Callithrix jacchus: one gene and its partners. The protein of the gene in region 6 purifies or fractionates together with the protein of the main gene of each other region. This does not show direct contact. Links are inferred from orthologs where the notes say so. Each region holds a gene or a part of one and is shown on either strand. Other genes may lie near its edges. The genes, in order: ERF, STAT3, HMMR, DUSP9, DUSP4 and MAPK1.

What was found.
Region 1: the proteins of MAPK1 (region 6) and ERF purify together in Homo sapiens (co-immunoprecipitation; 3 studies listed by BioGRID and IntAct, with this or other methods). This does not show direct contact. The link is inferred for Callithrix jacchus from reciprocal best matches to the Homo sapiens genes MAPK1 and ERF.
Region 2: the proteins of MAPK1 (region 6) and STAT3 purify together in Homo sapiens (affinity purification with western blotting; 3 studies listed by BioGRID and IntAct, with this or other methods). This does not show direct contact. The link is inferred for Callithrix jacchus from reciprocal best matches to the Homo sapiens genes MAPK1 and STAT3.
Region 3: the proteins of MAPK1 (region 6) and HMMR purify together in Homo sapiens (affinity purification with mass spectrometry; 4 studies listed by BioGRID and IntAct, with this or other methods). This does not show direct contact. The link is inferred for Callithrix jacchus from reciprocal best matches to the Homo sapiens genes MAPK1 and HMMR.
Region 4: the proteins of MAPK1 (region 6) and DUSP9 purify together in Homo sapiens (affinity purification with mass spectrometry; 5 studies listed by BioGRID and IntAct, with this or other methods). This does not show direct contact. The link is inferred for Callithrix jacchus from reciprocal best matches to the Homo sapiens genes MAPK1 and DUSP9.
Region 5: the proteins of MAPK1 (region 6) and DUSP4 purify together in Homo sapiens (affinity purification with mass spectrometry; 6 studies listed by BioGRID and IntAct, with this or other methods). This does not show direct contact. The link is inferred for Callithrix jacchus from reciprocal best matches to the Homo sapiens genes MAPK1 and DUSP4.

The regions. Positions count from the first base shown.
Region 1 is NC_133523.1:37,282,179-37,286,302, forward strand, and holds the start of ERF (ETS domain-containing transcription factor ERF), read right to left. Parts: upstream 2,801-4,124; 5' UTR 2,671-2,800; coding exon 2,649-2,670; intron 1-2,648. UniProt on the Homo sapiens protein: Potent transcriptional repressor that binds to the H1 element of the Ets2 promoter. May regulate other genes involved in cellular proliferation.
Region 2 is NC_133506.1:121,751,031-121,754,530, forward strand, and holds part of STAT3 (signal transducer and activator of transcription 3), read right to left. Parts: intron 1,911-3,500; coding exon 1,858-1,910; intron 1,642-1,857; coding exon 1,547-1,641; intron 1,435-1,546; coding exon 1,295-1,434; intron 819-1,294; coding exon 606-818; intron 1-605. UniProt on the Homo sapiens protein: Signal transducer and transcription activator that mediates cellular responses to interleukins, KITLG/SCF, LEP and other growth factors. Once activated, recruits coactivators, such as NCOA1 or MED1, to the promoter region of the target gene.
Region 3 is NC_133503.1:26,272,623-26,276,122, reverse strand, and holds part of HMMR (hyaluronan mediated motility receptor), read right to left. Parts: intron 2,627-3,500; coding exon 2,480-2,626; intron 1,975-2,479; coding exon 1,822-1,974; intron 1,729-1,821; coding exon 1,629-1,728; intron 936-1,628; coding exon 759-935; intron 1-758. UniProt on the Homo sapiens protein: Receptor for hyaluronic acid (HA). Involved in cell motility. When hyaluronan binds to HMMR, the phosphorylation of a number of proteins, including PTK2/FAK1 occurs.
Region 4 is NC_133524.1:149,571,772-149,575,050, reverse strand, and holds part of DUSP9 (dual specificity protein phosphatase 9), read right to left. Parts: intron 1,596-3,279; exon of another isoform or gene 1,404-1,595; intron 933-1,403; 5' UTR 898-932; coding exon 525-897; intron 1-524. UniProt on the Homo sapiens protein: Inactivates MAP kinases. Has a specificity for the ERK family.
Region 5 is NC_133514.1:30,456,591-30,460,734, forward strand, and holds the start of DUSP4 (dual specificity protein phosphatase 4), read right to left. Parts: upstream 2,801-4,144; 5' UTR 2,397-2,800; coding exon 1,964-2,396; intron 1-1,963. UniProt on the Homo sapiens protein: Regulates mitogenic signal transduction by dephosphorylating both Thr and Tyr residues on MAP kinases ERK1 and ERK2.
Region 6 is NC_133502.1:193,829,249-193,833,399, forward strand, and holds the start of MAPK1 (mitogen-activated protein kinase 1), read right to left. Parts: upstream 2,801-4,151; 5' UTR 2,589-2,800; coding exon 2,470-2,588; intron 1-2,469. UniProt on the Homo sapiens protein: Serine/threonine kinase which acts as an essential component of the MAP kinase signal transduction pathway. MAPK1/ERK2 and MAPK3/ERK1 are the 2 MAPKs which play an important role in the MAPK/ERK cascade.

The DNA of each region.
Region 1 (4,124 bases), on a different chromosome or scaffold from region 6:
GGGTAGGGGATGTACTGACTTCCACCCTCCCCCCAAAATTAAAGCCACCCTTCCCAGCCCACCCGCCCCAGCCTCCGTGTCCCGGTAACCAGGCAACGTGTGTGCAGCGACAGTCCTGGGAGCGGGGGAGCAGGAGGCTAAAAATAAACTTTGCAGAAGAGAGGGAGTGAGAGAGACTACATGCAACACAAAGGGAACTCGGAAAGGAGGTGGGGGGGCTCTGGAAAGGCCTCAAGCCGCATTCTGGGAGCTGTCCCAGGCCCCCTTGTTAAACCCCTTCCCTGAGTAACCCCTCCTCCAGGGTCTGGACCCTGGCTCCCACTCCTGGCAGGGACCCTTCCCCACTCCCAGGCCCACCCCAAGGATGGCTTTCCTAATCGGACACAGCATACATGAGGGCCTGTTCCTGGCTTTGGGGGGGAGAATGAAGAGGGGGTGACGTCAGGGTGTCTCAATGGGGCTCTGTTCCCCAGGCCCTGGAGCCAGGAGCCAGGCACGGGCAAGGGGAGCATGTGTGAGTGTGTTGTGTATGCGTCCACGTGCTTAAAACAGGGAAACACCAGACCTGCACAGAGGAAGCTTGGGGGTGTGGGACCTCAGGAATATGGGGGCCAGTGAGGCAGGGAGAGAGCAGACACATAGAGAGAGGGGTTCACAAGACTGCGAGGCAGGGTGCAGAGTGGCAGCAGACAGACAGGAAGGGCTGGGATGGCGAGGTCCCGGAAGCACACCTGGGTCCCACAGAGGCGGGGTAGGGATTCTCCCAGACAGACTGCAAGCCTGGGGGGACAAAACTCCTGGGCACCCCCCCAACCTCACGTGACAGCCCAAACTTTTTTTAAGGGACCATGAGGGTCGGAAGGGAGGAGTGATGGTAGAGGAACAACACGCCGGCCTCCTGGGGGGCCCCACTACCTCCCCCACTTCAGGCAGCCCTCTGTGGCGCCAGAGCCGGGAAGAAAACAGGAAGTGGGAAACAGCCACGGCAGAGGAGAGAGGGGCCGGGATGGAGGATCGGATGGAGGGGTGCGGAGCGGCAGGCCAGGAGGCAGATGGAAAGATGCACCGATTGGAGGCCATTCCAGGCCTCCTGCCCCTCTTCTCCCCCCCGCCGGAGAACCCACACACTGCTCGGCCCTCAGACGGGGTTGGGGAAGCAACCAGCGGGTCCCATCAGGCCAAGGCCGGTAGCAGGGAGGGAAGATGAGGCGGGGTTGTCTAGGCGCCTCGGCCTCCTCTTCGGACCAGAGGAGGCTCCTGCTGCCCCCGGGGCCCAGCGGCCCAGGAGCGAGTGGAAGCTGGGGGAGTCTGTGGGACGCACGTGACTGACCCTACAGCACTCCGCACCCCGGCCCCACCTCCAGGGCCCCTCCTCGATCCCAATCCCCTGCCCTTTAAGATTAAGCCTCCCCCACCCGCCGAGCAGGGGGATGGAGATGGGGTGGGGATGGGGTGGGGTGGGGTGGGGATGGGGTGGGGTGGGGTGGGGTGGGTGGGCCGGTCGGGGCATACACCCGCACACTGGAGCCCGAGCCGCCGCCGCCGCCGCCGCCGCCGGGGGAAGGAAACAAGTTTGAACAGCGGCGCCCGGCCCCCTTCCCCCTCCCCCGTCCCCGCCCCGGGCCGGATTCCGACGGGGTAGACGGGCAGGGGGCGGCTGGGACCCCTCCCCCTGCGCGCTTGGGCGCAAAGTCCAGCCCGCGCGAGCCCGGGGGCGGCGGGGGAGGGGAGGGGGAAAAGTCCGAGTGGGAGGGGGGTTAATCCCGCTGCCCCCCGTCCGCCGACCGAGGGGGAGGGGAACCTTGGCCCCTTAAGGAGGAGCAAGTTGGCGGGGAAGAGAGGGGCGGAGGGAAGAGACGGCCCGCTGAAAGAGAAGAGCTGGATCCGGGAGGGGGGATAAGGGGGGAGCCTCTGCGTCTCCCCCCACCTTTTCCACCCTCCACTACCCCGGAGCCCCGGTGGTGCGGAAGGAGGGTACCCAGGTCTCCCCGGAGCCACCTTAAAGCCGCGCGTTCTAAGGTCGGAAACAAAAAGTTCCTTTTTCGAACGTTCGGGCTGCGCTTTGGAACTTTGCGACTCGGCGAGGGCGGGGGAGCGAGGAGCCGACTGAGGCGGGCGGGGGAGGGGCGGCGCAGCCCGGACCCCGAGTCTCGGGCTCCCCACTCACGCCCTCCTCCTAGAGGCCATCCCGTATCCTCCGCTAACCTGGTGCGGGGCACGCGCTGCGGTGAAGGTCACCAGCCGGACCGCGAAGCGCAGAACCAGGGATAGCGGGCCCAGTGGACGAGCCCCCCCCCCGCCCGCACACGTCCCGGCCCCCAGAGTGCAACGTGACAAGAGCGGAGGGGAAGGACCCCGCCACCCCCGTGATCCCAGGAGTGGGAGAGAGCCCAGCCTGCGGGGTCCCGGTAGGGATATAGGACCAAGATCCGCAGCAACCACACCACTCTGCCCAGAGCCAGGAATCGGGGGTCCCAGGCAGCAACCCCGCTCGCGCCACGAGAAGCAACAGGTCTCGAGTGCTTGAGGGGTCCCCCAGAACTGGGGAATCACTCGGGCTCCCCTGGACCCCTCAGCCCCCCCAAAGTTTCTCCGTTCGATTTCCTGGGGCAACAAGTCTCCCCCACACGTGCTGCCCCCGCCCCCACCTGTGTCCGCCGGGGTCTTCATGCTTGGGGGCCCGGGGCGAAGCGCCCCGACTCCGGGCCGCGGCTCCCGGCGCCCGCGCTGCCCCGTCCCGTCCCGCGCCCGTCGGGCCGCCCTTGCCGCCTCACCCGGCCTCGCCTCTCAGAGCCTCTCCCCTCCCCGCCGCCGCCTCCCGGGTTAATATCGCACTCCGGGGCCGGGACGCCCACGCCCCCCGGCCGGCGACGTCACCGCCGCGTCGCCATGGAGACATTGCGCCCGCCCCCTCCCCGCGCACTCACACACACGCTCTCCGGCGCTCAGCCACTGAGGACCGGCCGGCTCTGCGCTTAAAGGGGCCGCGCAGCGGGGGAGGGAGGAAGGAGGGGGCGGGGGTGGGATGGGGTCCCGTAGGTCGTGACCCTAGTCCGAGGCTCCAAGTCTGCAGATAACTTAAGTCCTCGGCACTCGCTACCTGCTGCCCCTCCTCCTCTCCTGCCCACTGCGGGCACGAGAGTTTCTTTTGGGTGCCTGTATGGAAAAACGGGGGGCCCTTCCGAGGAAATGGGGTTCAGAAACTTTTGTGGGGAGGGGGCAGAATCTTCCCTGCAGAGGGGCGGGGTCAGGCCCTTGGAGGACAGCATTTCCCAGCTTAGTTTTACCCAGCCCCCCAACCCTGAGCCTGAATGGGGGCAGCTGTCCAGGGGTGGGGTGGAATGGGTGGGATGCATTTCCCAGCCACGGAAATGGGGAGGCGGCTGTGCCCTCCGCTCCTGTGGGGATGGGGTCTTGTCCTTCCTGATAGCCCCAGTCCAGCTGAGGAGGAAGTGACCAGAGAATGCATTTGGAAGCCCCCACCGCCACCGTGCCCAGGCTGCAGCTGTCCCGGGGACAGAGCTGGCGCCGGAGGTCCCCCCACCTCCACCATTAGGACCGGGGGTTCCGGAGGCGGGGCCAGGATATGAGGGGGCGACCAAAGTCTGAACAAATGTGCTCCCAAAGGGCACTGAGGGTCGCCAGGAAAGAGGAAGACAGGGCTTAAGATCGAAAGCCAGCGCGTAGGGAAGCGTTAAGTCTCCGTTCTTTGCTTCAGTCGGGAGGGAAGGATGAAGCCTGAGGCTCTGGGAAACAGGAAATCACTGTGCAGATCTGATGGAGCCTGGGAGCCGGCAGCACGGTAGAGGCCAAATAGAAGCAATATTCACAAGCACAGCCTGGAAACAGGGTCTCAAAAAAGACTCTGAGGTTCCAAAGGAGGGGCGTATGGGTGGCGGGCGGATCTGAGGGGCGGGGGTGTGGGGGCGACAAATCCAGAAGATGGGCGGGGAGACACAGACAAGTCACAGATAGGGAAGGCCTGCGGAGCTCAGGCTCCCGGTAACTAGGGTTTCAATCCCAGCCTCCTCGCCTCCTTCCTTGCGGGGTACCTAGTCCGCCTTAGGCGCCTCACCGGTGCCTCAAAAAGAAGTCTCAGGCCTCCTCCTCCCTGGTGAGACCAG
Region 2 (3,500 bases), on a different chromosome or scaffold from region 6:
ACCACTATATCTTTGTTGCTTTGAAATCTATTTTATCAGATGCGAGAACTGCAACTCCTGCTATTTATTTATTTATTTATGCTCTCCATTTGGTTGGTAAGTCTTTCTCCATCCCTTTGTTTTGAGTCTTTGTGTATCTTTGGATGTGAATGGATCTGGATGCAGCATACGTTAGGTTTTGGCTGTATCTTTTGTTTGGGGGATTTAGTCGACTTAAATTTAGGGTTACTGCCATTGGATGTTAACTGGCTATTTTATCCATTCGTTTATATAAATTCTTCTTTACGTTGATGCTCTTTACTTTTTGGTATGTTTTTAGAAAGGCTAATACTGGTTGCTCCTTTCTACGTATAAAGAGGGGCTGTATCCCCTCTTAAGACTAGTGAACTCTCGTGAAGCAGGGGCTGCACTAGTCTAAGTGATTCTGATTCTCCTCCCAAATCCCATCGGTCACCCCCAGAAAAGCACTCATTACAGTGCATTCCCATAAGGAGAAATAATGATCCCCCAGGTTATTCAGGCATTTGCCTGTCTATCCTCCGAGGATCCTGACATTTCCAACTTTTCCCAAATATTAAATGCCAGGAACATGGAAAATCAACAACTACCTGGGTCAGCTTCAGGATGCTCCTGGCTCTCTGGCCGACAATACTTTCCGAATGCCTCCTCCTTGGGAATGTCAGGGTAGAGATAGACCAGCGGAGACACCAGGATATTGGTAGCATCCATGATCTTATAGCCCATGATGATTTCAGCAAATGACATGTTGTTCAGCTGCTGCTTGGTGTATGGTTCCACCGACTGGATCTGAGTCTTACCTGTTATGGGATGTGGGAAGGAAAGATCATGGAACCTACAGCTAGGTAATCTCAGAGAAAGAGCCCATTTTTATTTCCTCCAAGGGAGAAGACGTAAGCCACCCCAGTGTTGAGACCCTGAATCTCCTGTCCAGTGACCTGGTACTGTGGAAATGTTTCAGGCTGGCTTCTAATTTAGAAGAGGCTACCAGCTAGGTCAAAGGCAATAAACTTGAATAGAACTACTTGTGTAAGATATATTAACAGGATAAGTAGGAAAAGGGATGAAGAATAAAATTTAAACTGCAAATTTCTCAACCAATAGCCACTGGAGGAAGCAAAACAAAAGCAAACCAATCAATGCTTCAGCTGGGAGGACTTAGAAGTCACCCAAAAGTGTCTGAGTCAGGCAGGGAGTCGGGCCATCTCCACCCACCAGGGGGCAGTAGGTGCCTGGAACTAGCAGCGGTGATGAGGTGGGTGGGAGCCTCACTTACCGCTGATGTCCTTCTCCACCCAAGTGAAAGTGACGCCGCCTTCTTTGCTGCTTTCACTGAACCTTAGCAGGAAGGTGCCTGGAGGCTTGGTGCTTAGGATGGCCCGCTCCCTCTCCTTACTGATAAAGCCCATGATGTACCTGAAGCCAAGAGGAATGGTGTTGTTATTGCTAACAGGGCAGCCATCCACTGCCACTGGCTTGCAGAGAGCAGGGGACTTGGTTACACCTGTGCACACTCTGTCCGACCTACCCTTCGTTCCAAAGGGCCAGGATGTACTTTTTCACAAGGTCAATGATATTGTCCAGCCAGACCCAGAAGGAGAAGCCCTTGCCAGCCATGTTTTCCTGGAGAAAAGAATAACGGGAAAGCCAAGTCTACCGCCACCCCAGCCTTTCCCTTCCTGGGGCACAGTGCACCACCCAAATCCTCAGGCCCGTCTACCTGCTGGCAGGTCCTACTGGCTGCTGGACCAAGAGTTCAGGCCTTCAAGCCAGAGCCCTCCACAACAGCCATGCAGGTTAGTACTCCCATTCCCACAAGGATTTAACAAGATTGCTTACTTTGCAAAACTTAGCCCATGTGATCTGACACCCTGAATAATTCACACCAGGTCCTGAAGGAAAAGAAAAAGAATCAAGTAGTACATTTTGAGGTTGGGGGTCAAGATGTTCTTTCTTTTTTTTTTTTGAGACAGAGTCTTGCTCTGACATCAGGCTGGAATGCAGAGGCGCAATCTCAGCTCACTGCAACCTCCTGCCTCCTGGGTTCAAGTGATTCTCCTCCCTAGCCTCCTGAGTGGCTGGGACTATAGGCATGCATCACCACACCCGGCTAATTTTTATTATTTTAGTAGAGATGGGGTTTCACCATGTTGGCCAGCATGGTCTCGATATCTTGACCTTGTGATCCGCCCACCTCAGCCTCCCAAAGTGCTGGAATTACAGGCATGAGCCACCAAGCCCAGCTGGTGTTATTTCTTAAAACGGAACACACACACATTGGTCCCACAATGGGCCATGAAACCACTGGCGTTCACATATTAAAAGGTGGCCGCTGTTGTCTGTGTGCACACAATGAGGACAAACACACTGCCATTATCTGACCCATCTTTGTTGCTGGGTAGCCCAGCAGGGACAGAGGGTGATGTAACAAGTGCCCCTGTTCTTTGTAGCCTTGGGTGGTGGGCTGGGGACCAGCAGCAGCACTCACTAACAAGCTGATATCTGGTGTCAGACAGGTGTATTTGGTGGCAACAGCTTTATTAGGATAAAGCTACTTCTAGCCCAGGCAACACATAAAATATTCCACTAACTCTTTTTTAAAAACTAGCCAATAGTCGGCTGGGCACGGTGGCCCATGCCTATAATCCCAGCACTTTGGGAGGAAGAGGTGGGCGAATCATGAGGTCAAGAGATAGAGACCATCCTGACCAACACAGTGAAACACCATCTCTAGTAAAAATACAAAATTAGCCTGGTGTGGGGGCGCATGCCTGTAGTCTGAGCCATGCAGGAGGCTGAGGGAGGAGAATCACTTGAACCCGGGAGGTGGAGGTTGCAGTGAGCCGAGATCGTGCCACTGCACTCCAGCCAGGTAACAGAGCAAGACTCTATCTCAAAGAAAACCCATAAAAAAACTGGCCTATAGTTGATTAAAGGAATGCATAGGGAACAAGGGAAAAAAAAAAAAAGAAGAAATGGACCGGGAATATCAAGCCTTTAGCTCTACCCTCCAAAACACACTTAAAAGATCTTCTAGGCCGGGCGTGGTGGCTTACATCTGTAATCCAAGCACTTTGGAGGCCAAGTTGGGCTGATCACCTGAGGTCGGGAGTTCAAGACCAGCCTGACTAACATGGTGAAATCCCGTCTTTAAAAAAAAAAAAAAAAGAAGCTCTTCTAAGGTTAGATGGGGTGGTACCCTGGAAGGGTTGAGTGAGATAGCAACCAGGAGAAAAGAAATCTACCTCCTACCTCAAAAATTATCACCCTGACTACATACTGCCTCTGCACCCCGACTCCCCAACCTGATGGAGGCCCTGTTTCCTGGCCCCAGCACAGTGCCTTGCTCAGGAAACATGACCTAATGATCAGTAGACATGGCCCAAATGAGCAGCCCTATAGGCCAGATCCATTTTCCTTTTTTGATTCTTTTTTTTTTCTTTTTTATCACCCACAGCATGAAAATGGACAGATCCCTTTTC
Region 3 (3,500 bases), on a different chromosome or scaffold from region 6:
TTTACCAACTGACAAATGAATAAAATGTGGTATACCCACATAATAAATTATCAATCAATTAAAAAAGTACTGTCCATGCTACAACATGAATGAACCTTGAAAATATTATGCTAATTGATGGAAAGAAGCCAGTAACAAAAGGCCACATATTATTTGAATCCATGAATATGTCATGTCTACAACAGTAAAATCAATAGAGACAGAAAGTAGATTAGTGGTTGCTTAGCGCTGAAAGGTGGGGTAGGATGAGGAGATAGGAGGGTGTTAGGAAAAGGATAACAGGGTTTCATTTTGAGGTGATGAAAATGTCCTAAAATTGACTATGGTGATGGTTGCACAAATCTGTGAGTATACAAAATATCACTGAATTGTCCACTTTCCATGGGTGAATTGTATAAGATGTCAATTACATCTCAATACATATCAAAAAATTTAAATGTCCAACTATTTTTGAACACTGCTTGTCTTTATGGTTTTACGTCAAGGAGTTTGCAGTTTTGCAAACAGAAATAGATATGTAAAGCTGAATGAATTCATCCAATTACTCTAGCAATTTACAATATATTAAGAAGGTAGCTGGAAAATTTTAGAACATGGAATGACAACCATCTGGTCAACACTCCAAAATAAGTCAACTAAAATCACAGATCAATTTTCATCTATAAACTGCTACTTTTTTCTGATTTTCATTTTAAGTATTACAGTTAGAATAGCCCCACTCCAATATCTTTAATAAAATGAAATGTCATTTTACAAACCGATTTGAGTTGGCTATTTTCATCTTTCAACTTCACGACATGCTTGATTTTTTGTTTTAAATTCCGATGACCCAATAATTCAGCATATGAATCTCTTATTTTATCTAGCTCTTCCTGAGCAGCACCACGTTCATTCAACAATGCCTGTTTTTCTGCTTCAAAAGCATCTAATTGTAGCTAAAAAAGATTTTGTAAATAAAGTTAAGACTTAAAACAGTTTGATCTTACCAGTTTCATATAAACCATAAACACTACAGAAATAGAAACAGGGTATGTTTACATATTCTCAGAACTCTCCAGAGATACTCTATGAAAATCTTTTAAACTTTTGTGTTTTTCATTTGAAAGGTAATTAAACCAGAGGAAAAGAAACAAGGAAAAAAAGCCAGCTGGCCAGCTTTATCTGTATCAGTTGGATCACCACATTATAACCAATACTGTACTTCAATCCACGTTCCAAGATCAGCACTTATCCTTTTTTTCTCTTAAAACATCAGTGTATTGAGAAACAATGAGTATTTGCGATGAGATAAATCATATCGCAAATTAAAATAGGTTAATTATCAAAAGCCCATACCAGGCAAGCTCTCTGCCAAACTTTAAGTTCCTCATTACAATGTTTTTTTATTAAAACCATAAAGGGTCCATTGAAAACTCTGTCAATTAAATTTGTCAATTATACTTCAATAATGTGGGAAAAAATTCTGCATAAGAATTTAATAAAATGTATAAACCTTTAATAGTAAGCTAAACTTGCGCTGTAAATGCAGAGCAAAATGATCTGGCAGAAATCCTGAGTCATGGACAGTAACAGGAAAAAAGTGAATTCCTAAAATAAACACAAGTAAGTTTAACTCCTAACTGACAAACCTGGAAAGGTTTTACTTTATTATACAGTTCTTCGTAAAGGAGACGCCACTTGTTAATTTCTTCAGTTAATTGTGCCATTTTATTTTCTTTTCCAGCTTTTCTGCATGGAAAAATTAAATTGAGAAAAACGTAGTTATTTAAAACATAGCATCGTAACTCAGTTACAGGCACTCCGGCTCTAATCATAGAGTACCTTGCTTCCTCATCTTCCAGTTGTTTTCTAAAATCTTCCTCTTGTTGCTGGAGTTGGTTCTGCAAATCAGTTATTTTTTGAAAAGAAGAAACTGTGATTTCTTTAATTTCTCTTTCTTTTAGTGCTGACTTGGTCTGCAGATCTAGAAGCATCCTTTGGTTTGAGAGAGAAGAGTTCACTAAACATTTTATAGCCATTTTCATTCATTTTTCCTTTTTTTTTTTTAATTGAAGAAACTCTTCAAGAAGTACCTTTTTTTTTTTTTTTTTTTTTTTTTTGAGACGGAGTTTCGCTCGTTACCCAGGCTGGAGTGCAATGGCTCCATATCGGCTCACCGCAACCTCCGCCCCCTGGGTTCCGGCAATTCTCCTGCCTCAGCCTCCTGAGTAGCTGGGATTACAGGCATGCGCCACCATGCCCAGCTAATTTTTTGTAATTTTAGTAGAGACAGGGTTTCACCATGTTGACCGGGATGGTCTCGATCTGTTGACCTTGTGATCCATCCGCTTCGGCCTCCCAAAGTGCTGGGATTACAAGAAGTACCATTTTTTAACTAAGTTCTCAATTTGCAATATAAGACGGAAGAAAGCAAGTTACCAGCTCGCTTTCAACATGAAGTTGTCTTAACGGTTCTAAGGCCATGATTTGTTCTACTTACCTTGCATATTCTTGATTTGAACTCTCGGTTGCCAATATCTGACCCTGAATATCATCTGCATTTTTTCCAGCCTTGGCCAATTTTTCCTGTAATGATGAGTTCTGCAGCTTAAGATCTTCAATCTCACTGGCTGTTAATGCTTTATAGCTTATTAAAAAGAAAAAAAAAAAAGTCAAAGTAGTTTTCTAACTAAGGTGTATGACAATCATAACTTATGGGTTTACATTGTATATACTTTAAGGTAAAACTAAAAAGTTTTTATTGTGGTCATGCATTTAACACAGGTAAGAATTCAGTGTTCTGAGGTAAGTACTAATGTGTTTACATGGTATCTGCTGTGTATTCAAAGAAAAAATAATCGAGTGCCTCCTATGTGCAGGAAGTATGCATACAGAGATGGAAAAGAAAATAACTATCAAACATGAAAATTATTCAAAATCAAAAAATAAGATGTGACACTAGAGCTTAATGAGTAAGAAAGGCTGGAGTCGAAGATGGTGGCATGACGGTCATCACTGCAAGGTACGGTGGGGGAAGGAGGGGAACCATTAAAGGTGTCTAAGCAGGCCGGGCACGGTGGCTCCTGTCTGTAATCCCAGCACTCTGGGAGGCCAAGGCAGTTGCATCACCTCAGGTTAGGAGTTCGAGACCAGCCTGACCAACATGGTGAAATCCCGTCTCTACTAAAACACAAAAAATTAGTTGGGTATGGTGACAGATGCCTCTAATCTCAGCTACTCAGGAGGCTGAGGCAGCAAAATAACTTGAACCCAGCGGGTGGAGGTTGCAATGAGCCAAGATCGCGCCATTGCACTCCAGCCTGGGCAACAAGAGTGAAACTCCATCTCAGAAAATAAATAAATAAATAAATGAAATAAAAAGGTATCTAAGTAAGTTGTAAGTAAGTGCGTAGCTCACTTGAGCTATGAGGAAGATTGATTAGGGCCGGGGAAAAACAGAAAGATCAAGCTGCTTTGGATAGGTTAATATTTAATATATACTTGAAGATGTCAAGTAGGTG
Region 4 (3,279 bases), on a different chromosome or scaffold from region 6:
GAAGTGGGACCCCAAGATGTGGGGAGCTTGGGGGAGAATGTAACATTCCACCAGAATGGCTGTAAAGTCCCAAGAACCCAGCACCTCTGTTTACAGATACTACTCTTTTCCCAGGCTGGAAAGCTGACACTTTATATGTCCCTAATACAGTCCAGTGGACCTTTCTTGGCGACGGCTGGCTCTGGATTCATGAGAACACTGTCTCTGCCCTGGGCCTGTTCCCCCCAGTCTCCCTCCCCGTCCCTGCTGTTCTTTGCGGAACCCGAGCTTTGTACTTCCCTTTCGAGCATCCTGGGAACTAGCTCAGGTCAGGCCAACCCCCCATTTTCCAGACTCAGAGACTGGGGCTTCGGAGAGTGAAGAACCTGCTGGAGGTCATACTTGGGGCTCCCCTCCTCTCAGAGCAGCCTGGCAGGTCATCAGGGGAGGGGGGCCTCAACCCGCTTTGGAAAACAAGAGGTTGGGCTGGCCTAAGGTCAAAGGAATCCCGAACCCCCTGGAAAGGAGGGCCCCGCGGCACCTACCCTGGAGGTAGTAGGCCAGGTAGCCTTCCTCCCGCAGCTTCTGCAGCAGGGTACCCAGCACCGACTCGGCTTCCCACTCCTCAGTTTCAGCCTCGGCCTCTCCGCACCGGCGCCGGCCCCCACCCTGGTCGTACAGGAGAACGGGGGCAGGCGGGGGCGGCTGGAGCGGAGGTCCGGGCAGGAGCGCGCGCACCGACAGGCTGCCCCTCCGCAGGCGGCGCAGCAGCAGCGCGGGAAGGGCCACGCTCAGCGCCCCACCGATGCGCGCGGACTCGTACAGCTCGCGACTGCGGCAGTCCAGGAGCAGCAGCTGCGGCCGCGGGGGCGACAGCTCCCGGCGCAGCCACAGGCACGAGCGCCCCAGTCCCTCCATCGGCGCTCGGCTTCTGACACGTCGGGCCACGGGCACTATGGAGAGAGGGAAGGCGCAGTGTGAGCTCCCGGCGGGCCGAGGGCGTCCAGAAGGCGGGAGCCCAGGGCCCCCCAACGCGAGGATTCCCAATAAGGTGCCCCAAGAAAACCCCCGAGGCGGCCGCTCAGCACGGGGAAAGGTCCTCCAGAAAAGGGTTGAGCATCTAACCGCCCCTTCGAGGCTCATCTTGGGGTACCCCGAGGCCGCAGCGGTCTACCTCCATACCCCCTTTCTGCTCCTCTTTCTCGGCCTGCCCGCGATCGCTCCCCAAGTTCCAGCTTCCGACTTTGCTGGGTGGGGGTGTGAGTGTGAGGGGTGCTTTTCAAGACCCAGATCTCCCCCACGGCCAGGTGGGCCAGGGAAACAGGCGGAGCAGAGGTGCTGGGCCTCAGCGAGTCCTCTCAGAGGTGACCTAGCCCCGGTCACCATCTCCCCCCACCCTCAGGAGAGAACAAAAGGAGAGAGACCTGGAGCGCGATCCGGCGGTAGGCGACTGCGCGTGGACGTTCTGGCCACGGCCACTGCCACGGCGGAACGCGGTGCGCCGTCCCGGGGCAGGGAGTCCCTAGGCCCGGCCGCTAGGAGAAGGCGGGGCGGCGGTGCAGGCTCGCACGTGGAAGCCGAGCAGCTTCCTGGCAGCTGGACCCAGCTTCCACCTTGGAGACAGCCTTGGGACGTGGAGTTACAACTCCGAGGGGCGGGCCGGGGCGGGGCTGCGGGGGCGGGCCTGGGCGCCGGTGAGCCAACGGGTGCTAGCCGAAGGAAGCAGTCGGGTGGGACCTGCGAGTCGGCTGAGCTGGGGCTTCCACCGAGGCGGGACGGGGTCGGGGCAGAGGCCAAGGGCAGGTCAGGGGCCCAGCAGGGGACCAGCTGCGGCTCCCCTGGCCGGCGCCAGCCTGGCCTCGGGAGGCAGGGGGAGGGGTGGGGACAAGAGCCCAGCCCCCCTGTCGCAGAAGCTGCCTTCAACTCAACTCACTCGGTGATACTGGACCATCTTCTCCCCTGCCTGGATCTCAGTGGCACCATCTCTGTAATGGACTTATAGCTACCAGCTTGGCCAAAGGTGGGATGCCACTGAAATCGCCCAGGGGAGGAGGAAGCAGGATCAGAAACTTTCTGCAGCTTTGGCCCAGAGCACCTCCCACCCCAGCAGGCTTCACTCACACAGCACTGGCCAAAAGTACCCAGGAGCCCTGAGCTCCCAGCCCTAAACTGATCCTAAGAGTGACCCCTGGCTCTCCCCTTGGCTGATCAAAGTGGAGAGAAGTAGTTTCCAGCTAAATCTCTCTCACATCCATGCCTCTGTCCCCTGTCCCCTATCCTAGCCAAGGGCTCAAATTCATCAGCTCTAGGCCAGGTCACTGTCACGTCTTGCACAACAGTCTCCCAGCCTCCAGGCCTGCAACGACCTGCCCTCCACCCTGCCCTGCCCTGCCCAATGTCAGAATGCCATCCACTCAACCAAGGCTGGTGGCCTCCATCCTTTCCTCCATGGGCACAATAGGCAGGGCAGATCCATAGGCAGCCAGGGCACTGCACAAGGTCTCAGGTGTGGTGAGCGCTGAGATAGGAGACCAGGTCAGGGGGAGGTGTCCACAACACTGGTCTGGCTAAAAGTCCCTTTTCTGCTTAAAGCCCAACAAAAGCAAATAACAGTGTTGAAGGAAAATGTACAATAGATAAGATAAAGCTCATACCCAACCAAAAGGTTAAGACCCCTGTAGATAAATGGGCAAAGAACCTGAAAACACTGCACACTGCAGGAAGGAGGGAATGCGGCGGCCTTACAAATATTTGGGGGAAGGTTCAAGCTCAGGCGTGGAAGGAAAGCAACTCCAAAAAACAAGTAACAATGACCAACGAGGTAACACTTTCCACCTTCTGTGCTAGAAATGTCCTCATGTTTGAGAACACCCAGTGCCGGCAAAATTGCTGTGAAATCAACGTGCTGTTCAACGGTTGCAGGGTATATATTGGCATAGCCCTTTTGGAAATTAATCTGGCAATATCAAGAGCTAGGAAAAAATCCCAACCCTTTGACCACTTTGGGGAATCTAAGGAACTAAAGTAAAAGAAATCAAAGTTACACACATTCTCTAAGGAGTGGAAAATGGAAAGCGCACTGCGAGTCCCACAGTGGGAATCATTACGGAGTCAGAGGAGCAAATGTCTGAGGTCACGGTTACGGAAGAGGGCAGGTGATGGAAAGCTGGGAGTGGGGTGGGTGAGTGTGAGGGGTGCCGTTCGAGGCCTAGATCTTCCCCACGGCCAGATGGAGATCTCTAAGGGGCTTCCAGTTTCCCCTCCCCCTCCCTTCTGGGCAGTGGGCTGCTAGCCGGGACT
Region 5 (4,144 bases), on a different chromosome or scaffold from region 6:
GAGGTCCCGGAGCTGCCGCTCTAGGGCGGTCCCCTGCGGATTTCTTCCAGGAAGGAAAGCAAAACACAACAAAACAAACCCAGACTCCACGTGGGGCTGGAGCATGGCCCCAGCCCTGCTGTGTTCTCGCGGGTCCTGGGCTCGGAGGCCAGCGAAGGAAGGTGTTTGTGCCCGCGCTCTCTATGGGGGGAGTTGAAGGCAAAGCAGTTCGAGGAACATCCCGGCCAGCCCCGGTCACTCGAAGGGACTTGGGTCCCCGAGGAATTGCCTTCATCTCTGCCACCAGCGCCGACCAGCTCAAACAATGGCGCGGACGCCCACCCTGGTGGCCTAAGCAGGACCTGGTCCCGCTCAGCGGCCAGGCTTTCCGGGACATGCCCCTTCCTGGCACTTTCTCCTGGAGCGCTTTGGGGAGAAGGGAGGAGGACTGGGCTCAAGTGGAGGGGCAGAGCGGCTCTCGCGGAAAAAGAAAGAAAAATCAGCAAAATCGCCTTAGCAGTTCAACCAAAGGTCAACAGCAGCGTTTCCCTAGCAGCTGACAGGTCAAATGGGCAGGAAACAACTGCCGAGAACAAAGCCCCCCGCTGTTCGGCAGGGGCGAACCCGACTCTTCAGCACTGAGCAGTTTTGTTGTGCTTTTTGGAGGGGAGAGATTTCCGCCCTCCTCCAGCTCCCTTCCTCCCCAGTGGACAGGTCCGGAAAGGAAAAAGGAAAAAGGAAAGGAAAGGAAAGGAAAGGAGAAAGGAAAGGAAAGGAAAGGAAAGAAAGGAAAGGAAAGGAAAGGAAAGGAAAGGAAAGGAAAGGAAAGGAAAGGAAAGGAAAGGAAAGGAAAGGAAAGGAAAAGAAAGGAGGGAGGGGGCGGGGGCGCCTGCGGGGGGAGGTGCGGCTCTTTGATGGAGGGGGGAGTCTGAACCGCCTCCCGGGCTTGGAATCCCAGACCCGACCCGCGCGAAAGAATGCTCGGAATGCGGCGGCGGGAGGCGGGGGCGCAGCGCAGCAGAGGGCGCCCGGACCCCACGCGCCCTGCCCGCTCCCCAGCCCGACAGCCGCGGACACACCTGGTCCTGCAGGTGAGGCAGGCGCCCATTCCCTTCAGGAACTCGGACAGCACGCGATTTTTTCGGGATATCCGACTACCAAATGTGACAAGACAGCCAGGTCGCCAAGTTTCGCCAGGGCTCGCTTAAATCCGGCACGCGCCGCCATCAGATAGTCGCAAATCCGACTGAACAAAAGGTGGTCATTCTGGGCTGCCCAGATTTGCAGGAGCTAGAGGACGGATTCCGCCTGGCGTCCCCCAGATATACCGTCCTACAGCCTCCTGCTCCCAGAGCCTGCAGCTAGCCCCGGACCGAGATTGGCCACCTTCCAAGCGGAGCTCGGAGTTGGGCAGCGGGAAAGCAGATACAGATCGCTCTACACAGTGTGTGCAACCCAATCTCCCTTTCTGCATTTGCCAGGCTCTTGTTTTCAGTGAAACTGGCAGGGCTGATTGTACCTCGGCGCCCACCCGCCTTCACCCTTTTCCCTACCTCTCGGATTTTCCCGGTCGGGTTTAGTGCAGGGTCCCGGTATGCCAAACCGATAGGCCTATCTTGTTCCCAAGCGCCCCGTGGTACTTGAGAACACTTCCCGGGACTCGTGATGGGCGGCGCAGAAGAGTCGCTTCACCCTCGAGGCCAGGACCTTTAGTGTCAATAAACGGGGCTTCGCTAGGACAGTGCGGAATTGCAGGTGACCGGGGGAACCCGCCCGCACTGTCCCTGAGTACTTGAAGCTCGCACTTGCATAGAAACCTTGCAAGCCCGTACACACGAACAAGCACAAAGGGGCGCGCGGGGATCCCCGCAACCACGAATCACGCAGGGGACTCCTTTCCTTGCCACTAAGGCGCAGGCCGCCAAGACCTCCTCCATCGACCTCCTCCATCTCCCTCCAGCTCGCGCCCGGAGCCCGCGCTTACCTTTGAGCAGGCAGATATCGGTGCGCTCGGCGTTGCGGCGCAGAGCCTGCACCACCAGCGACACGGTGCTGTCCTCGCGGAGGCTCTCGGCGCGCGGGCTGCGTTCGTCGTAGACGATGACCGCTGAGTAGAGGCCGGAGCGCAAGCGAGCGCGCACCTCCTCTTCGGCGGGCAGGATCTGCTCCAGGCTCACAGAGCCCTTAGCCCGCCGCCGCACGATGGTGTTGCAGCGCACATTGACCGAGCCTCGGATGTAGCCCGCGCTGTGCGCCAGGAACGGTCTGCAGTCCAGCAGCAGGCACTTGCCACCGCTCGGCAGCCCCAGGGCGCTGTGACTGCCGCTGCCGCCTGCGCCGCCGCCGTTCTCGTCCCGGTTCATCAGCCTTTTGAGCACACTGCAGTCCATCTCCCGCAGCTCCTCCATCGTCACCATGGTCGCCGGGAACCGAGGCGGCTGGGCGCTCGAGGAAGAGAAGAGCACCCGGGCCGCCTAGTCTGCAGGAAGGAGCGGGCGCGGGCTACGCGGGGACGCCTGCTGAAGTGGCCGCAAACGTGGTCCCCTGGCGCTCCCGAGGGCGAGTCTCTTCTCTCCGTCCCCTTCCTCCCGCAGCCTCGCGGTCACATAGCAGTCACAGCGGCCTCGGGCGCCCAGCCGGACAGCGCCCGGCGCGGAGGGGGAGGCGGCGCTGGAGGGGAGTGTGTTTACGGGAGAGGACCGCGGACTCTCTTCGGCCGCCGCCTCTTGTGTATTTTTGCGGGTCGCGCTGCTCCTATCGCCACCGGCGCCGGCGCTGCGGCTCCCCACGCTTCCCCGGCGCTCCGCGCACTGCCCCAGCCAGAGTTTCCTCCTCGGCTTAGAGATTTATTAATGCTCCTCCGCGCTCCCGGGGGAGGGGGCGCTCAGTACTACCCCGCCAGGCCCCGCCCCGTTCCATTCCGGGCCCCGCGCCCTTCCCCGCCCCCTGCGCTGACTCCCAGCTCCCTCCGGGCCCCTCCTCCCGCCTCCTCCCTGGAGCTTGAATGGAGCGCGGCCGCTCGCTCCCGGTCACGGGAACTCGACGTCACAAAGAGCGGAGTAAACAGGGCGCCGGGTGCTCGCCGTCAGGCCCATTCATAAAACCGAGACCGAGAGGAAGAGGGAGGCGGCCTCCGACCCGCCGCGAGCTGCAGGCAGCGCGGGGACTTTGTGAATGGAGCGCGCGGCGCCTTTTCGCTGTCCGCTGGCAGGCCCGGCCTCCGCTGCGCCTTCAGCCCGACACCCGCACCTGTGCCGCCGCTCGGCTGGCGGCGCCAAGGGAAATAGCCAGCCGAGGAGGCCGGGGCTCGGGTTTGAGCTTTCATCCGTTTGCACCTTCGCGCTTCACCGCGTGACAGCCCCGCAGTCTCTCCCCGGTACCCAAGGAGAGGGGACTGGAGCGCCGCTGCCCACCCGGCAGGTCCTGCACCTCCTAGCCCCAGACTCCCTGTGCGCTTTCGGCCCGGCCAGTCCTTTCTGAAAATGCCATTCCTGAGACGTTGCGTATGCATTAGCGTGATCGATTTTCATCTAAAGCCATTAAATCAGTTTTATAGCTTCCCCAGGAACGTGGGCAACCCCCCTGCTTAGAAGATGAAAGAGCAAGTCCTCCCGCCCGAAGCCCAGGATCGGAGTGAGGTGTGGGGTTTGTGGCTTTACGACCCATAGGGAGGCATTAATTGCCGGAATGGTGTGCGGAGGGAGGAGAACAGGCTGCACTCCTGTCCCCGCCTCCTAAAAGATGTTTATTTAACCCTGGTCGGGAGAAAAATAAGGTTTTCGGGCTTGGGGGATGTCTTCACCCTATCTGGCATGGTTGTGAATTATCCTTTCAGGAAATGACAGGGTCCACATTTGGTATGGAGAAATGTACCCGGGAAGAATGACCTTTTAAAAGAACTTCAGCAGCTCTGGGCCCGATTCAGGTTTCCGAGCATCCCTTTTTCCAGGTCACGTGGCAGCCCTCCCCATCCCCATTTCTCTTTTGCATTTAATTTCCCAGAGGCGGCATTTGGCTGGGGGTTTGTGCACGCACACGATGGGGACCGTGCAGAAGCCAAAAATCATTCGCCCGACATCTTGCCAAGTCTTGTTAGTGAGAATTAATCACAGAGCAAGGAAGTTACAGGACTCGCTCGCAGTCTCGGAGGCTGCGGAGTAGCGTA
Region 6 (4,151 bases):
ATAGGGTATGTCATCAACCTGATAAAAGGCTATAATTTGAATCTAGGATTCAAATACCCAATTATATTTGCATTTGTGTTTTAGTTAGAAAGGAAAATCATAATAAGAGGACCTAGCATTCAAACGGAGAGTCAGAAGGTCAAACGAGCCTACAGCAGTTGACAGAATTAGTTCCCAGATCTAAACTTCAGACTAGTAAAAACCTTATCAGATAGGGGAAACCTTATCAGATGGGGGTATCTTTTCAAGTGATGTGTCCTAAACTTAAAAGACTTTTTTCAGTCCACATTTTAGATAAGTTAATTTTGTTAAAAGGGCCAAAGGACATGATGGGAAATTCTGAGCCTCTCATAATGAGACACGTTCACGGGCACACTTCCCAGTGAGTGCAACAACAGTGAGATGTATGGTACAGAAATGATGTTATTGGCAATACTTCCTCTCCATTACTTTTTAGGGCCTTATTTCTTTTTTGTGTGTGTGAGACGGAGTTTCGCTCTTGTTACCCAGGCTGGAGTACAATGGCACGATCTCGGCTCACTGCAACCTCCGCCTCCTGGGTTCAGGCAATTCTCCTGCCTCAGCCTCCTGAGTAGCTGGGATTACAGGCACGCGCCACCATGCCCAGCTAATTTTTTTGTATTTTTAGTAGAGACGGGATTTCACCATGTTGACCAGGATGGTCTCGATCTCTTGACCTTGTGATCCACCCCCCTCAGCCTCCCAAAGTGCTGGGATTACAGGCTTGAGCCACCCCGCCTGGCTTTAGGGCCTTATTTCTTTTAGGCTCGACCTAATTTAAATTCTCTCTTGGCTCCTAAACCTGTGAGTTCATGTTAATTTTTACAATTGTATTCAGCATTTTGCGCCTAAATAAAGTGAAAATACTGTAATCCCAGCTACTCAGGAGGCTGAGGCAGAAGAATCACTTGAACCTGGGAGGCAGAGGTTGCAGTAAGCAGAGATCTTGACACTGCACTCCAGCCTGGGCAACAGAGCGAGACTCCATCTCAAAAAAAAAAAAGTGAAAATATGAAAGATTCAATTAAAGTCTCTTTAAAAAAATTTTAAGTAATCTTTCTATCTAGCTGCAATACTTGGCAAAACATGCCTTCTATTGCATTTCTAAAATTATGACGATTGAAATCTGAATACACTTCTGAAATAGACTTACATTTACTTTATAACAGTGAAATACACAAAATTCTGCAATTATTAATTACCCTAAGGAAAGCAGGGTGTTTTCCTAAAAACAGCTGAAAAGAGGTGTGGTGTGTGAAGTAGAATCTCACTCTACAATCTTAAGAATAACTCTTTAGTTCTATTACCTCATCCTGAACTTCACCTCAAAATACTTTATCACCTGAAATACCTTCTCACCTGAAAAAAGGAATAACACCATCTTTTCCTCCTTCAATGTGGCTGTTCAAATAAAATGAAATCATGTATGTTGCACAGTACCTACCATGAAGTGCTCAATAAAATATCGGTTTAATTCCTTCGGTCAACACAAAAGACACTGTGATTTAAGGGAATCTACTTCCACAAGTCTTCACCAGCACAAAATGTTACAGCTAGTTTGCTCTAATAAAAACAATACAGTCACCATCACTTCACTTTTCTAAGGGACCTAAATCAAGATGAGGGAGCCTACATGTGATTTTGCAAAAACTCCAGAAAGGCTGCATACTTATTGACCACTAAAGTCCACAGCAATTGGGCTAAAACATCTGGGAGCATTTATGCTGGTAAAAGAGCTCACTAGGGGACTAAAAAAAAAAAAAAAGTCAAATTAGGCCCAACTCTAAACGGATCTTTAATAAATCAAGAAACTGAGGCTGAGTTAACCTTCCTGAAACGCCAATAGTGTGATATTAAAATCCACTTTAAAGTAAAAACTTCAAGACGGAAATAACACTGCTGTCAGCAATGCATTTTATAAAGCCTGCGCGCAGACCACCATTAGCACCGCTGAGGATATTTAATCAAAGCCGTTGGCTGCAAAGGCGAGTAGAAAAAAAATGACTATTTTGGTGTTCTGCACACACGCGGAGACAAATCGCTTTCAGGACCTCAGCAGCCGCCGCCAACACCGACAAGCATCTGATGGAATTCCCAGTTTACAATCAAGCAAGCCATGATGTTAGCAAATTGAGGAGTGGGGGCGCTTCCGTTGCCTTCCCGAGGGTCCAGACTTTAAAGGCCGCGTTGCGCCCTGGGCCCGAGACCCAGCCTCCGGCCTCCGGCCTCCGCCCCCCACGCCACTCCCTGCGCCCCTTCCCGAGCGACCGCGGGCCCGGGTCTCAATCGGCCCGGGGCACCGCCCGAGTCCCGGCGCGCGGACCGCGGTGAAGTCCGGGTTCGAGGTCGCCGCGGCTGCCGAGGCCGAGGCACGGGCGAGGCCGAGGCTGCGTCCGCCGCGGCCCCCGGTGGTGGGGAGGTCGGGCGTGGCCAGGCACGGACACTCACCACACCATGCCGTAGGCGCCCTCGCCGATGTACGAGAGGTTGGTGTAGCGCGGCCCCACGTCGAACACCTGCCCGCGGACCATCTCCGGGCCCGCGCCCGCCGCCGCCGCCGCCGCCATGTTGGTTGCCGGGCCGCCGCCGCCTCCGCCGCACTGGACTCGACGCTCCGCGGCCGCCGCTCGGCTCCTGTCGCCCCTCCCGAAGGGACCGCGCCGCCGCCGGAGCAGCCGCCGCCGCTGACCGGGAGGAGGAAGGAAGACGCCGGGGGGGAGACCTGAAGAGCCCACAGCCGCTCGAGCCGACTGCCTGCCTGCCTGCCTGCCAGACAGACGGGCGGGCGGAGGGAGGGGCGCGCGCCGAGGAGAGTGCCGGGGAGGGGGCCAAGCAACGTGCGTGCAGATTGGTTCTTCGTGGATGGGGCGGGGCCAGGCGGGCCGGCGGAAGCGACGGGCTCGGGGTGGGGCACTGCGGCTGCGTTGACTGAGGGGCCACCCCCGGGCGTGGTCACGTGTATTCGCGGGGTCGGAGGCGCGGGACTCGGCTCTTGAGAGACTCAGGGAGACAGACGTGGGGCAGAACCTATGGGACTGAAGTGACATGTGGCCGGGGCCCGCGCCGGAGCAGGGTCCTAACAGAACCAGCGAGGGCTCGGAGCTGTGCCTGAGGCTTGACGACGCGCCGTAGCCCGGCGGCGCCACAGCTCAGGCCTCTGCTAATCCGTGGCCCACACGCTGATAAACTAAGAGGCGTTGGCACTGGGGCAGAAACCGAAAGACATGACCCAGACTGAGAAAGATATTTCCATACTGAGAAAGTGAGAAGCACAATTGTCTAGATTAAAAGGAGACACTGAGAGGATAGGAGAATCAGAGCTTAGCTCAGATGTTTGTTGACCACACTCTATGTTCCTGGGGATCCACCCTCATAGAAGTTACATTTTAGAGAGAGGAGACATTTATTTATTTATTTATTTATTTATTAGAGACAGCGTTTATTTATTTACTTGTTTGTTTTTAATTAATTTATTTTTTAGAGACAGCGTTTCACCATGTTGGTCCGGCTGCTGTCGAACTCCCGACCTCAAGTGATCCGCCTGCCTCAGCCTCCCAAAGTGCTGGGATGACAGGCATGAGCCACGGCGCCCGGCCAGACAAATACATTTAATACTCAAGCTGTGGTAAGTACTGTGAAGAAATATAAAGCAGAAGGGAGGGCGCGGTGGCTCTCACCTATCATCCCAGTACTTTGGGAGGCCTCGGCGGGCGGATCACTTGAGGTCAGGAGTTTGAGAGCCAGGTCTCCACTAAAAATACAAAAATTAAAGGCAGGCACGGTGGCTCACGCCTGTCATCCCAGCACTTTGGGAGGCCGAGGTGGGCAGATCACGAGGTCAGGAGTCCAAGACCAGCCTGGACAATATGGTGAAACCCCGTCTCTATTAAAATATAAAAACTAGCCAGGCGAGGTGGTGAATGCCTGTAATCCCAGCTACTTGAAAGGCTGAGGCAGGAGAATTGCTTGAACCCGGGAGGCAGAGGTTGCAGTGTGCTGAGATCTCACTACTGCACTCCAGCCTGGGCAACAGAGCAAAGACTCCGTAGGAGGTGGGGTGGAGAGAAGTTATCGAGGCGAGGTGGCAGGCACTTATAATCCCAGCTACTTTTGAGGCTGAGGCAGGACAA